Danio rerio: one gene and its partner. The protein of the gene in region 1 interacts with the protein of each later gene in a biochemical or structural test. Links are inferred from orthologs where the notes say so. Each region holds a gene or a part of one and is shown on either strand. Other genes may lie near its edges.

Region 1 (5,881 bases):
ACTCAGATCTTTAGGATCATATAAACTAGAAGTTCCAAGAGTTCAGTCAAAGCAGGGTGAATCAGCTTTCAGCCACTATGCTCCTCGCTGCTGGAATCAGCTTCCAGAAATGATCAGATGTGCTCCAACAGTAGGCACATTCAAATCAAGACTGAAAACACATCTGTGAGCACTGTGCTGCGTCCGACAGACCACACTATTATGTTTTTCTCTTGTTCTTCATTCTTTTATATCACATTTGACCTGTTTTTATGTTTTTTTACTCATTTTTATTATTTATTTTTATTTTTATTTTACTTGTTTCTTTTATTCTTGTTTATGTAAAGCACTTTGAATTGCCACTGTGTATGAAATGTGCTATATAAATAAACTTGCCTTGCCTAATTGAGGTGAAGTTGGTTTTAAATTCGCACATTCATTTAGTGACAACTTGTGACACGCTCTTTGTATTGTTTACCATGGTACTTTAAATATTCGGTCTGAAATCGCATGTAAATATGACAACATTAGCACAATTTATTTGGCTGTGTACAATGTTGTTGATAGTCACTGGCTGCTAATATGATTTTATTATTTAGTGTGAATATAAAACCAACTTTACCTCATTCATTTTGCTGGTAATCGACTTTCACTCATTCTGTCATTTATATAAAAAAAATAAGTTTGAGTTGAGGTAAAGTTGGTTTTATATTCGCACATTTTTTCAGTGACAACTTGTGACACACTTCCTATATTGTTTACCATGGTAATTTAAATATTCACTCTAAACTCACATGTAAATATGACAGCATCAGCACTATTTATTTGACTGTGAACAGTGTTGTAGGTTACTTTGATAGCCATTGACTGCTGAAATGATTTCAATGTTTAGTGTGAATATAAAACCAGCTTAAGCTCAATCATTTAGCTGGTAATCGACTTTCACTCATTCTGTGCCACTCATAAAGAAATCACTTGTAATTGAGGTGAAGCTGGTTTTATATTCACACACTCATTCAGTGACAATTGTGACACGGTCTGTATTTTTTTACCGTGGTACTTTGAATATTCGAACAAAAAAAATCACATGTATGACTTCAAAACATTAGCACTATTTGTTTTGAACTTTGATAGTCATTGGTTGCTAATACGATTTGCAAATAATACTTTCTGAAATTATACTATTAAGGAGAAAGTCAGAATGTGTGAATATAAACCAACTTTACCTCAATTAAGTTGGATATGTAAACTTAAAAGAGTGGAATTTTAAAGAGAGACACCACTCAAAATATTTTCCCTAAATAGGCTTGTCGGCTTTAAAATAATTAAACATTCATTCATTCATTCATTCATTTATTCATTCATTTTCCCTCGGCTTAGTCCCTTATTTATTAGGGGTCGCCACAGTGGAATGAACTACCAACTATTCTGGTATATGTTTTATGCAGTTGATACTTTTCCACCTCCAACCCAGTACTAGGAACACCCATACACACATTCACACTTGCACTCATACACTATGGCCAATTTTGTTTTACCCAATTTACCTATAGTGCATGTCTTTGGTCTGTGCGGGAAACCCACTCGAACATGGGGAGAACATGCAAACTCCACATCGAAATGCCAACTGTGATGTGATAGTGCTAACCATTGAGCCACCGTGCCACCCCAATGAAGAAACACTTATGAAAAATAAATATTTAAAATCAAATTGATGCTTGCCCCTCCACATTATTTTGGAAATTTTTTTTATGAGAGCTATTTTAAACCTATAAATATCAAAGATACCGGAGCGGTAATCTAACTATACTATACTATACTAGCACTTTTTTCTTAGGACATAAAGGTATTGTGCAAAGAAGGCATTAAAGGTTGATGAAAACAAGTAGTGGAACATGGTTGGATGGTGCATTCACAAGTAAACATTGCTTTTTTTTATTGAGGCCTTTTAAACTGGAGTTTAAGTAAAGTGTCTGGTGCATGTGGAGAAAGTTTTTAGACAGATGGTTTGTCAAGCCCACTCACCTGTGTGTGGCACACTCTGAAATGCACAGTGTTTTTATAGAGATGTAGAGTGATTTTAAGAAAGTATACCTTGAACAGCATTTGTAGATGTCACTTGTGTTGTATTCTAGAATTAAATGAATACATTTTAAGCTATTTATAAGTCCCAAATATTTTTGGGGTGTTAATTTTATTTGTGTTTATTCTACTAATAAAGTGCTCTTCGTCTTCTTGATATAGAAAGCAACAATGGGTCACACGAGTTTGGAGAAGATAATTGCACTGCAAAAGAAAACGGCACACATTAGGAATCTGTGTATTCTTGCTCATGTAGATCATGGTAAGTTTGAAAGTTGCCGATTTACAGTTGAAATCAGAATTATTAGCCCCCCTTTGAATTTTCTTTCCCCAAATGATGTTTAACAGAGCAAGGACATTTTCACAGTATGTCTGATATTATTTTTTCTTCTAGAGGATGTCGTATTTGTTTTATTTCGGCTAGGATAAAAGCAGTTTTAATTTTTTTTTATATTTCTATTATTAGCCCCTTTAAGCAATTTTTTTTAAGTCTACAGAACAAACCATCAATATACAATAACTTGTCTAATTACCCTAACTTGTCTAATTAACCTAATTAACCTAGTTAAGCCTTTAAATGTCACTTTAAGCTGTATAGAAGTGTCTTGAAAAATATGTAGTCAAATATTATTTACTGTCATCATGGCAAAGATAAAATAAATCAGTTATTAGAGATGAGTTATTAAAACTATTATGTTTAAAAATGTGTTAAAAATTTTCTTTAGGTTAAACAGAAATTGGGGAAAAAGCGAAATAAGCGGGAGATGAGGGGTAATAATTCAGGGACTTTAATAATTCTCACTTCAACTACATACATTTTAATGCTTATTTATTTATTTATTGTTATAGTCATTAATAGTCAAGTATCTACTGCCAGATTTTTATATTTTTGTATAAATTGAAACATTGTGTGTTGTCTATAGGGAAGACGACGTTAGCAGACTGTCTGGTGGCCAGTAATGGTATTATATCCAGTCGTTTAGCAGGAAAGGTAAGTGTACATTCTGGAAAATGACCAGTTGTTAGCCTAAAAACAAAGTACACACAATAAATTATACTTTTTTTAGCATATGTTGATTGTTTTTTTTTATTTAATTTTGATGTATTATTATTTATTAACTCTGTGTATTTAAAATGATGTGTTATTAACTAAAACTAGAAATATAAAACGTTGCTTTTGTGATTGAAATTAAGCTGAAAGAAAAGAATTATAATAATACTAAAAAAAAGCTTTCATCATGAAATTTCAGAAATACTCATTAAGTTTCAGAAATGCTCATTAAGTTCTCAAAATACTAAAACTGAATAAAATATATTAACTCTACATTAAATTTAATAATAATTATTATATATACTGTACATGTATTATCTAAAATAATTGACTAAAACCCACAATTGATTTAATGCATCTTACAATGTATCTTTAATATCATCACTGTTGTTGTGTATAACTATAAAAGAAACAATTCATAAATAAATAAAATAATTAATTAAAGTATTGCTGAAATAAAAAAAAAGATATTAAATAGAAAAATTATATTAGATGAGAAAATTGTAAGGTGAATACCAACAAAACTGAAATAAAATACATTAAAGCCACAGTGAATAATAATAATAATAATAATAATAATAATAATAATGATGATGATGATGATGATGATGATGATTATGATTATGATAATACAAATTATTATTATTATTATTATTTCTTAAAAAAACATAAAAATATTCAAGTAAATAATAAATATTTTTTTCAGTACTGGGTTGCGACTGGAAGGGCATCCACTTTGTAAAACATATGCTGAAATAGTTGTAGGTTCATTGCACCATTGTGACCCCTGACAAATAAGGAACTAAGCCGAATGAAAATTACTGAATGAATCATAAAAAATACATTTAAAAGTTGAACTAATTATGAATTATAATTAAAATAAATGATTGATAGACAGACAGACAGACATTTACATGACTTTTTTTATGTCAACCGCTGTCCTTCCAAAATTCAAAATTGTAACTATCCATAAAATAATATTTTGAAAATAGTATTACAGTACACTCATACACACACACCCCTGTTGGTTTGGAGTTGAAATAAGACTCATACAATTGAAGCTCACCATCTTGTCTGTCACTGCTGCTTTCTGTCATTGCTCCTGTAGCTGAGATATCTGGACAGCAGGGAGGATGAGCAGATCAGAGGAATCACCATGAAGTCCAGCGCTATTTCATTACATTTCGCAACAGGTGATGGCCATCGTGGTCTGTATTGTTTTTACTGATTCGACACGATGTACTGCTCTGGCTTATGTTTGCCGTTGTCATTGCAGGAGGAGTGGAGTTCCTCATTAATCTGATCGACTCTCCCGGTCATGTGGACTTCTCCTCTGAGGTGTCCACCGCTGTCAGATTATGTGACGGGGCCATTGTTGTGGTCGATGCTGTGGAGGGAGTGTGTCCGCAGGTATCATCCAACATCGAGAGTCTTTTCACTTGTTTTTCGTAGATTAGACACACAAAGTGCATAGAAATTAAATGCTTTAAAAGTTACACTGTAATTCGCCCAGCCTCATGCTTTTTTTGACTTGTATGTAATAGCATACGTTTGACCATCCATAACAAATAGAGAAAAAAAGGGCGAAATAATATATACAGTTGAAGTCATAATTATTAGCCCCTGTATAGTTTAATAGTTAAAATAACAAAAACAAAATATCTCTTTATAATGAAATAAAGAGACCCTTAAACTTGATAAATAAAATGTTACAAAGTGTGTACATTGGTAAAGTGTAAATGCTGAACAATCAAAGCAAACTTTAATGTGTCAATAGTAATGATACAGTAAACCTCAAACTCTGTAAACAACACTAATTATGATAATCAAATCTGAGCTTTCAAGTAAAGGAACCAGCCATCATTATTCAAATACATATTGCAACATTACAAACTGTGAAGTTGGATGGCTATATTACCCCCTATGTTAAAAACTCTTTCAGATGGGGAGCTAGTGGCTGAGATAAACAAGAAAAGAAACCAAAAAGCCACTCTGGCGACATCCTTACATTCTTTTTTATTTACAATCTCCTCATTGCTGCTATATGACACTCGTTTTCGCATGTGCGGTTATTTTGACCTGAAGTGGCAAGCATGATTGCGTTGTTATTTTCCCCATTTTGACTATATAAAAAATTTTCAATCATGGATTATGGGTTCCAGATCCTTAGAAAAAAATAAATGTTTTAGTGTAATGTAGCTTCAGTGTGTTAATATCACTTTTATAGCATGTCACCATAACAGCCACTCTTCTTCTTCTTTTTTTTTTTTGCTGCTTTAGACGCAAGTTGTTTTACGACAAGCTTGGTTGGAGAATATCCGCCCTGTTCTTGTCATCAACAAAATCGACCGGCTGATTGCGGAGCTAAAGCTCACTTCACAGGAGGCGTACGTTCACCTGCAGAAAATACTAGAACAGGTGAGGCAGAGCACACCTCTATTGATCAATGAGTTTTTAAAAGGTTTTGCATGTGTATATTTTTCATGTGTTTTGTAATTGTTATGTTATAAAGTTATTAGGATATTGTTATATTTTCAATCAACAAGAACAGAGAGGGAACAGTAAATTAAACTATAATGCTACAAAAATATAGATATTATTTGTTTGCAATAAATCCTGCTGTTTTAAACTTCTGTTGTTAAAACAGAAAAAAACATTTATTTTATATAAACTATAAAAAAAAATTTATTTACTACAAAAATATAAGCGTGTTCAACATATATAGGTGGGCATAGATTCATTTTTTAATCTAGATTAATCTCACTGTAA
Region 2 (6,381 bases), on another chromosome or scaffold:
TATATCCATATACTTACATTCACATGTAAATGCTTGTCTGTCATGCTGCATTTTTTGTCTTGTGACTAAATAATATACCTGGGTTAGTGTATACTCTATTCAGCAGGTTTAGTGTCTGTGAGCTTTGCATTTTTAACTGTTTGCCGTCATCTAGTGTCTGAATGCACAGGTTGTTGTATACATTTCTAACGTCCTAGTGTTTAATTAAAGAATTAATAAACTATTACGGCTCCTAGCTATGTTTTGTGTCAAAGTTTTATGTTTTAATGCAAGCAGCCATGTAATAAGTAGGATGAAGTACATCCAGGATAGTTGTTTTTGCAGAATAAAGCCCTTCAGTCTTCACATCGGGCTGCTGATAAACCTGTCAGGCTTAATTCTGCGATAACAACCTTCTGCAAGTACTTGATCACTAACATTGCAATCTATTTAGTAGGCAAATATTGTTTACAAATCTTTAACAGTTTTATTAATGGGTGGTTTTTGACTGTTATGCTCCGTCTTCTGACTGAATAGTATAAGTAGGTTAGTATATGCTCCGTTAAGAAGGTTTTGTCTCTGTCAGCTTTGTGTTTTTGACTGTTTGGGGCCATCTAGTGTCTGAATAATCTGCAGGTTAGTGTATACTCCATCAGCTGTTTCTGTAATTTCTGTCAGCTTTGTGTTTGATTATAGAATTAATAAACTATTACGGCTCATAGCTATGTTTTGTGTCTAATTTTTATGTTTTGGTGCAAGTAGCCGTGTAATAAGTAAGATCAAGTACATCCAGGATAGTTGTTTTCACAGAAACAGTCTTTATAACGGGCTGCTGATAAACCTGGCAGACTTTATTCTGCGATAACAACCTTCTGCATATACTTGTTTCCCTAACATAGCAATCTATTTAGCAGGAAAATGTTGTTTACAAATCTTTAACGGTTTCATAAATCGATGTTATTTTTGTCTGTGCTTCCAGATTTTGTCCAAAGGAGAACTGCAGGTATCAGACAAGGAACGACAGAGTCAACTGGAGCAGATGTTTCGTGATATTGCAACTATTGTGGCTGAAAAATGTGTGAATCCTGAGACCAAGCGGCCTTACACAGTGAACCTTATAGAGAGAGCCATGAAGGACATCCACTTCTCTGTTAAAGCAAACAAAAGCACTAAACAGCAGGTCAGTAGATATTGATCATTGGAGGATCTGTAGCTATGCTTCCATTCAAAGATGTGAATTAGATTCATGCACAAAACTGGAATATTGCATAAAACTTTAGTGAATAAACCAGCGTTTAAATAGAACAAAATCATCACTTGCTGATAAACTGGAGCAGATATCAGTCAGAGAAATGTAGTTTAGTGTGTTGGGATTTGCTACGGTGGTGTTTTTTTCTGCTCTAATAAATGAGTTGCGCCTCAGAAGCCAAAACGCAATTAATGTTGTGGCTTTTGGAGGCGTGACACGCTCTTTGGGAGCACAGACAGATGCTCAAGACGGTTCTGGTGAGAATAATAATACTACTGAAGCACTGTGATGACGGACTGACAGCTGAGGGCTTTTAGACAGACCGGAGCAACATTTCAGATGTTTTACACTGTGCTGGAAACGCTGCAAAGTCCATCAATACATCCCATCACACACATTTCATCATCACATGATTTTGTTGATCTACATACCACATCATGATTACTGAAGAACTGACTCTAAATAGAGGTGTTGATGATAATAATTAAACCAGCGTCTCCCCCTGCAGGCTCTTGAGGTCATCAAGCAGCTGAAGGAATCCATTCAGATCCAGAGAGCTCACATGCGCCTGCGCTTCGTCCTGCCAGCCAAGGATGGGAAGAGGCTGAAGGAGAAGCTCAAACCATTAATAAAGGCAGTGGAAAATGAGGACTTTGACGACCAGCTGGAAATGGTGAGTCGGCAGTTTTTTTTAGCCTAGAGCGCCGTCTGCTGTTAAACTCTAGCCTAGAGCGCCGCCTGCTGTTAAACACTAGCCTAGAGCGCAGTCTCCTGTTAAACACTAGCCTAGAGCGCCGCCTGCTGTTAAACACTAGCCTAGAGCGCAGTCTCCTGTTAAACACTAGCCTAGAGCGCCGTCTGCTGTTAAACACTAGCCTAGAGCGCTGCCTGCTGTTAAACACTAGCCTAGAGCACCGCCTGCTGTTAAACACTAGCCTAGAGCGCAGTCTCCTGTTAAACACTAGCCTAGAGCGCAGTCTCCTGTTAAACACTAGCCTAGAGCGCCACCTGCTGTTAAACACTAGCCTAGAGCGCAGTCTCCTGTTAAACACTAGCCTAGAGCGCCACCTGCTGTTAAACACTAGCCTAGAGCGCCGTCTGCTGTTAAACACTAGCCTAGAGCGCCACCTGCTGTTAAACACTAGCCTAGAGCGCTGCCTGCTGTTAAACACTAGCCTAGAGCACCGCCTGCTGTTAAACACTAGCCTAGAGCGCCGCCTGCTGTTAAACACTAGCCTAGAGCGCCGCCTGCTGTTAAACACTAGCCTAGAGCGCCGCCTGCTGTTAAACACTAGCCTAGAGCGCAGTCTCCTGTTAAACACTAGCCTAGAGCGCCGTCTGCTGTTAAACACTAGCCTAGAGCGCCGTCTGCTGTTAAACACTAGCCTAGAGCGCAGTCTCCTGTTAAACACTAGCCTAGAGCGCAGTCTCCTGTTAAACACTAGCCTAGAGCGCCACCTGCTGTTAAACACTAGCCTAGAGCGCCGTCTGCTGTTAAACACTAGCCTAGAGCGCTGCCTGCTGTTAAACACTAGCATAGAGCACCGCCTGCTGTTAAACACTAGCCTAGAGCGCCGTCTGCTGTTAAACAGTAGCCTAGAGCGCCGTCTGCTGTTAAACACTAGCCTAGAGCGCCATCTGCTGTTAAACATTAGCCTAGAATGCCGTCTGCTGTTAAACACTAGCCTAGAGCGCCGTCTGCTGTTAAAAACTAGCCTAGAGCGCCGCCTGCTGTTAAACACTTGCCTAGAGCGCCATCTGCTGGTAAACATTAGCCTAGAACGCCGTCTGCTGTTAAACACTAGCCTAGAGCGCCATCTGCTGTTAAACATTAGCCTAGAATGCCGTCTGCTGTTAAACATTAGCCTAGAGCGCCGTCTGCTGTTAAAAACTAGCCTAGAGCGCCGCCTGCTGTTAAACACTTGCCTAGAGCGCCATCTGCTGGTAAACATTAGCCTAGAACGCCGTCTGCTGTTAAACATTAGCCTAGAGAGCCGTCTGCTGTTAAAAACTAGCCTAGAGCGGCGCCTGCTGTTAAACACTTGCCTAGAGCGCCGTCTGCTGTTAAACACTTGCCTAGAGCGCCGTCCACTGTTAAACACTTGCCTAGAGCACCGTCTGCTGTTAAACGCTAGCCTAGAGCACTGTCTGCTGTTAAACACTAGCCTAGAGCGCCGTCTGCTGTTAAACACTAGCCTAAAGCGCCGTCTGCTTTTAAACTTTTTTGTTTTTTCTTTCCGTGTGTGACTGAACGTGCATTCGACAGCCCCCAGAAGTCAGCGATTTTAAGTCAATAATGTACATTTGTGTAAAGATTTTTGTTGATCTGTTTTTCAAGACATGCGTTAAAGGGATAGTTCACGCAGGAATTAAATTGTCACCTTTTACCTCCCTGTAATTTTAAAACAATGCTGGAAACCTGTACCCTTTGACTTCCACAGTACTGTATTTGTTTTGCCTACTATGGCACTGAATGGTTACAGGTTTCAGTGTGAGTAAATAGATGATCTATTAATTTAAAAGGGAAATAACCATCAGACAAGAAGTAGATAGACAGGTTTTGACATTTTATCCGTATTCTCCATGTGTTACAGGAGTTGTTTTTGCTCTTTCAGGTGTGTTTGATAGATCCAGGCTGTTTTCGGGATATTGATGAGCTCATCCGCTGTGAGACCAAAGGAAAGGGAACTCTTGAGGTGCTCAGTCTCAAAGATGTGGAGGAAGGGGATGAGAAACTCGAATAAACACTTCATTTATTTTCACCTGCTTTCTTTAACACATTAAACTACTGCTGATTTATTTTATATGGGCTGCTCGACTGTTGGAGTTTGAATGTGGCCAAACTATTAGCAGCTACTGCATCAGTATTTCAATACATTGTTAATAATAGACTCTAAAATAGTAATAAAATCCACATTTTATTTTCTGTGAAAATGGAATACATATTTATTTTGATTAATAACAGAAGTCAAAATATGATATTCTGCAAGAGTGCATCTTTATTATTAATATTATTATTTTGCTTTCTTTTAAATCTGAGGTGCCGAATTCCCATTTTCAGCAGGGTTTGTTAATCTACGAAGAAAGTAGAAAATAATTTAAAAGTTTTAATTGTCTAATCTGATGCCAGAGAAACTTTATCTTGTCACAGTTAAGACTCCCTTTACATTCACTATTTGTAGTATTTAAATAAATAAGCATCAACCTCTATATAAACCTCTATAAACTGTGATTCTGCTTAGACTGAAGGTGAAATTCGTTGTTCTTTGGTTTAACACTAAAATAAATAACATTGTTCTGCGTTCTACAAAGTTGTTTTTCTGAATGAATTTTTTTTACAATGTGCAGTCAGTGTGCTCTATGTAAAGTTATTGAGTGTGAACTAATAGCACTTGACCGGCCACTTTATTAGGTACACCTTACTAGTACCATGTTTGACCCCCTTTTGCCTTCAGAACTTCTTTAATCCTTTGGCAGAGATTCAACAAGGCACTGGAAATATTCCTCAGAGATTTTGCTCCATATTAACATGATAGCATCACACAGTTGCTGCAGATTTGTCGGCTGCACATCCATGATACCGATCTTCCATCCCTCCACATCCTAAAGGTGCTCTATTGGATTGAGCTCTGGTGACTGAAAAGGCCATTTGAGTACAGTGAACTCATTGTCATGTTCAAGAAACCAGTCTGACATGATTGAGCTTTATGACATGCTGCGTTATCCTGCTAGAAGTAGCCATCAGAAGATGAAGACACTGTGCTCATAAAGGGATGGACATGGTCAGCAGCAATACTCAGGTAGGCTGTGGTGTTGACACGATGCTCAATTGGTACTAATGAACCCAAAGTGTGCCAAGAAAATCTCCTCCACACCATTACACCTACATTACATGATACAAGGCAGGATGATCCATGCTTTCATGTTGTTGATGCCAAATTCTGACCCGACCATCTGAATGTGTCAGCAGAAATGGAGACTCATCAGAGCAGCAACATTTCTCCAATCTTCTATTGTCCAGTTTTGGTGAGTCTGTGTGATTTGTAGCCTCAGTTTCCTGTTCTTAGCTGACAGGAGCGGCACCCGGTGTGCTCTTCTGCTGCTGTAGCCCATCCGCCTCAAGGTTGGACGTGTTGTGTGTTCAGAGATGCTCTTCTGCAGAGCTCGGTTGTAACGAGTGCTTATTTGAGTTACTGTTGCCTTTCTATCAGCTGGAACCAGTCTGGCCATTCTCCTCTGACCTCTGGCATCAACAAGGCATTTGCGCCCACAGAACTGCCGCTCACTGGATATTACCACTTTATCAGACCATTCTCTGTAAACCCTAGAGATGGTTGTGCATGAAAATCCCAGTAGATCAGCAGCTTCTGAAAAACACCAGACAGTCAGGTATCAACAACCATGCAATTTTCACAGTCACTTAAATCCCCTTTCTTCCCCATTCTGATGCCTGATTTGAACTGCAGCAGATCGTCTTGACCATGTCTACACGCCTGAATGCAGCGAGTTGCATTGACGAGCAGTTGGACAGGTGTGCCTAATAAAGTGGCCGGTACGCGTAGTTTCTCTCCTTGGTTTCAGTTTTGGGCATCAAAGTTTGCATTCAAAGTCCCACTTAAAATAAACACACACAAACAGTTATATAGCATCTTTTAATATATAAAAAGGAACATTTAAAATTTGAATCTTATTTACAATTTACAACAGTACATGAAGCAAAAGGAAAACAATCCTAAAAAAATGTATAAAATTAACATTTATGTTTGTAATGAATGAGCTGGGAGTTTAAGAAAGTTAGGACGGGTTTTACATTCACTCCGAGACTAGAGATGTGTTCAACACAATTATATGAGAGGACAGAATGAAACAAGCTTAATCCCAACAGCATTCATATATCAGTAAAAACACGAGGAGAGCCCTGTAAAATATGTGGATTTGCTTAGTTGAACACAGCTTAAGTTAATTAAGGTCACTGTTTTGTTTATTTATTTGTTATTAAAAGGTCTATAAAAAAGGCATATCGGATGCTGTGTACCTGTACTTCTTGAGATGATATTAGCAAGCTTATTGTGTGTGTGCGCAAGTACTACACCGTCTTTCTGTTTCATCCACAAAACTACAACACTTTCCTTTTGTGTCATTAAAATCAGAAA

What was found.
Region 2: the proteins of efl1 (region 1) and sbds interact in a biophysical measurement, tested with the Homo sapiens proteins (2 studies listed by BioGRID and IntAct, with this or other methods). The link is inferred for Danio rerio from reciprocal best matches to the Homo sapiens genes EFL1 and SBDS.

The regions. Positions count from the first base shown.
Region 1 is NC_133182.1:12,338,413-12,344,293, reverse strand, and holds part of efl1 (elongation factor-like GTPase 1), read left to right. Parts: intron 1-2,223; 5' UTR 2,224-2,232; coding exon 2,233-2,323; intron 2,324-2,984; coding exon 2,985-3,052; intron 3,053-4,220; coding exon 4,221-4,305; intron 4,306-4,388; coding exon 4,389-4,522; intron 4,523-5,392; coding exon 5,393-5,530; intron 5,531-5,881. UniProt on the Homo sapiens protein: GTPase involved in the biogenesis of the 60S ribosomal subunit and translational activation of ribosomes.
Region 2 is NC_133190.1:1,934,921-1,941,301, forward strand, and holds the end of sbds (ribosome maturation protein SBDS), read left to right. Parts: intron 1-958; coding exon 959-1,159; intron 1,160-1,736; coding exon 1,737-1,901; intron 1,902-3,843; coding exon 3,844-3,972; 3' UTR 3,973-4,535; downstream 4,536-6,381. UniProt on the Homo sapiens protein: Required for the assembly of mature ribosomes and ribosome biogenesis.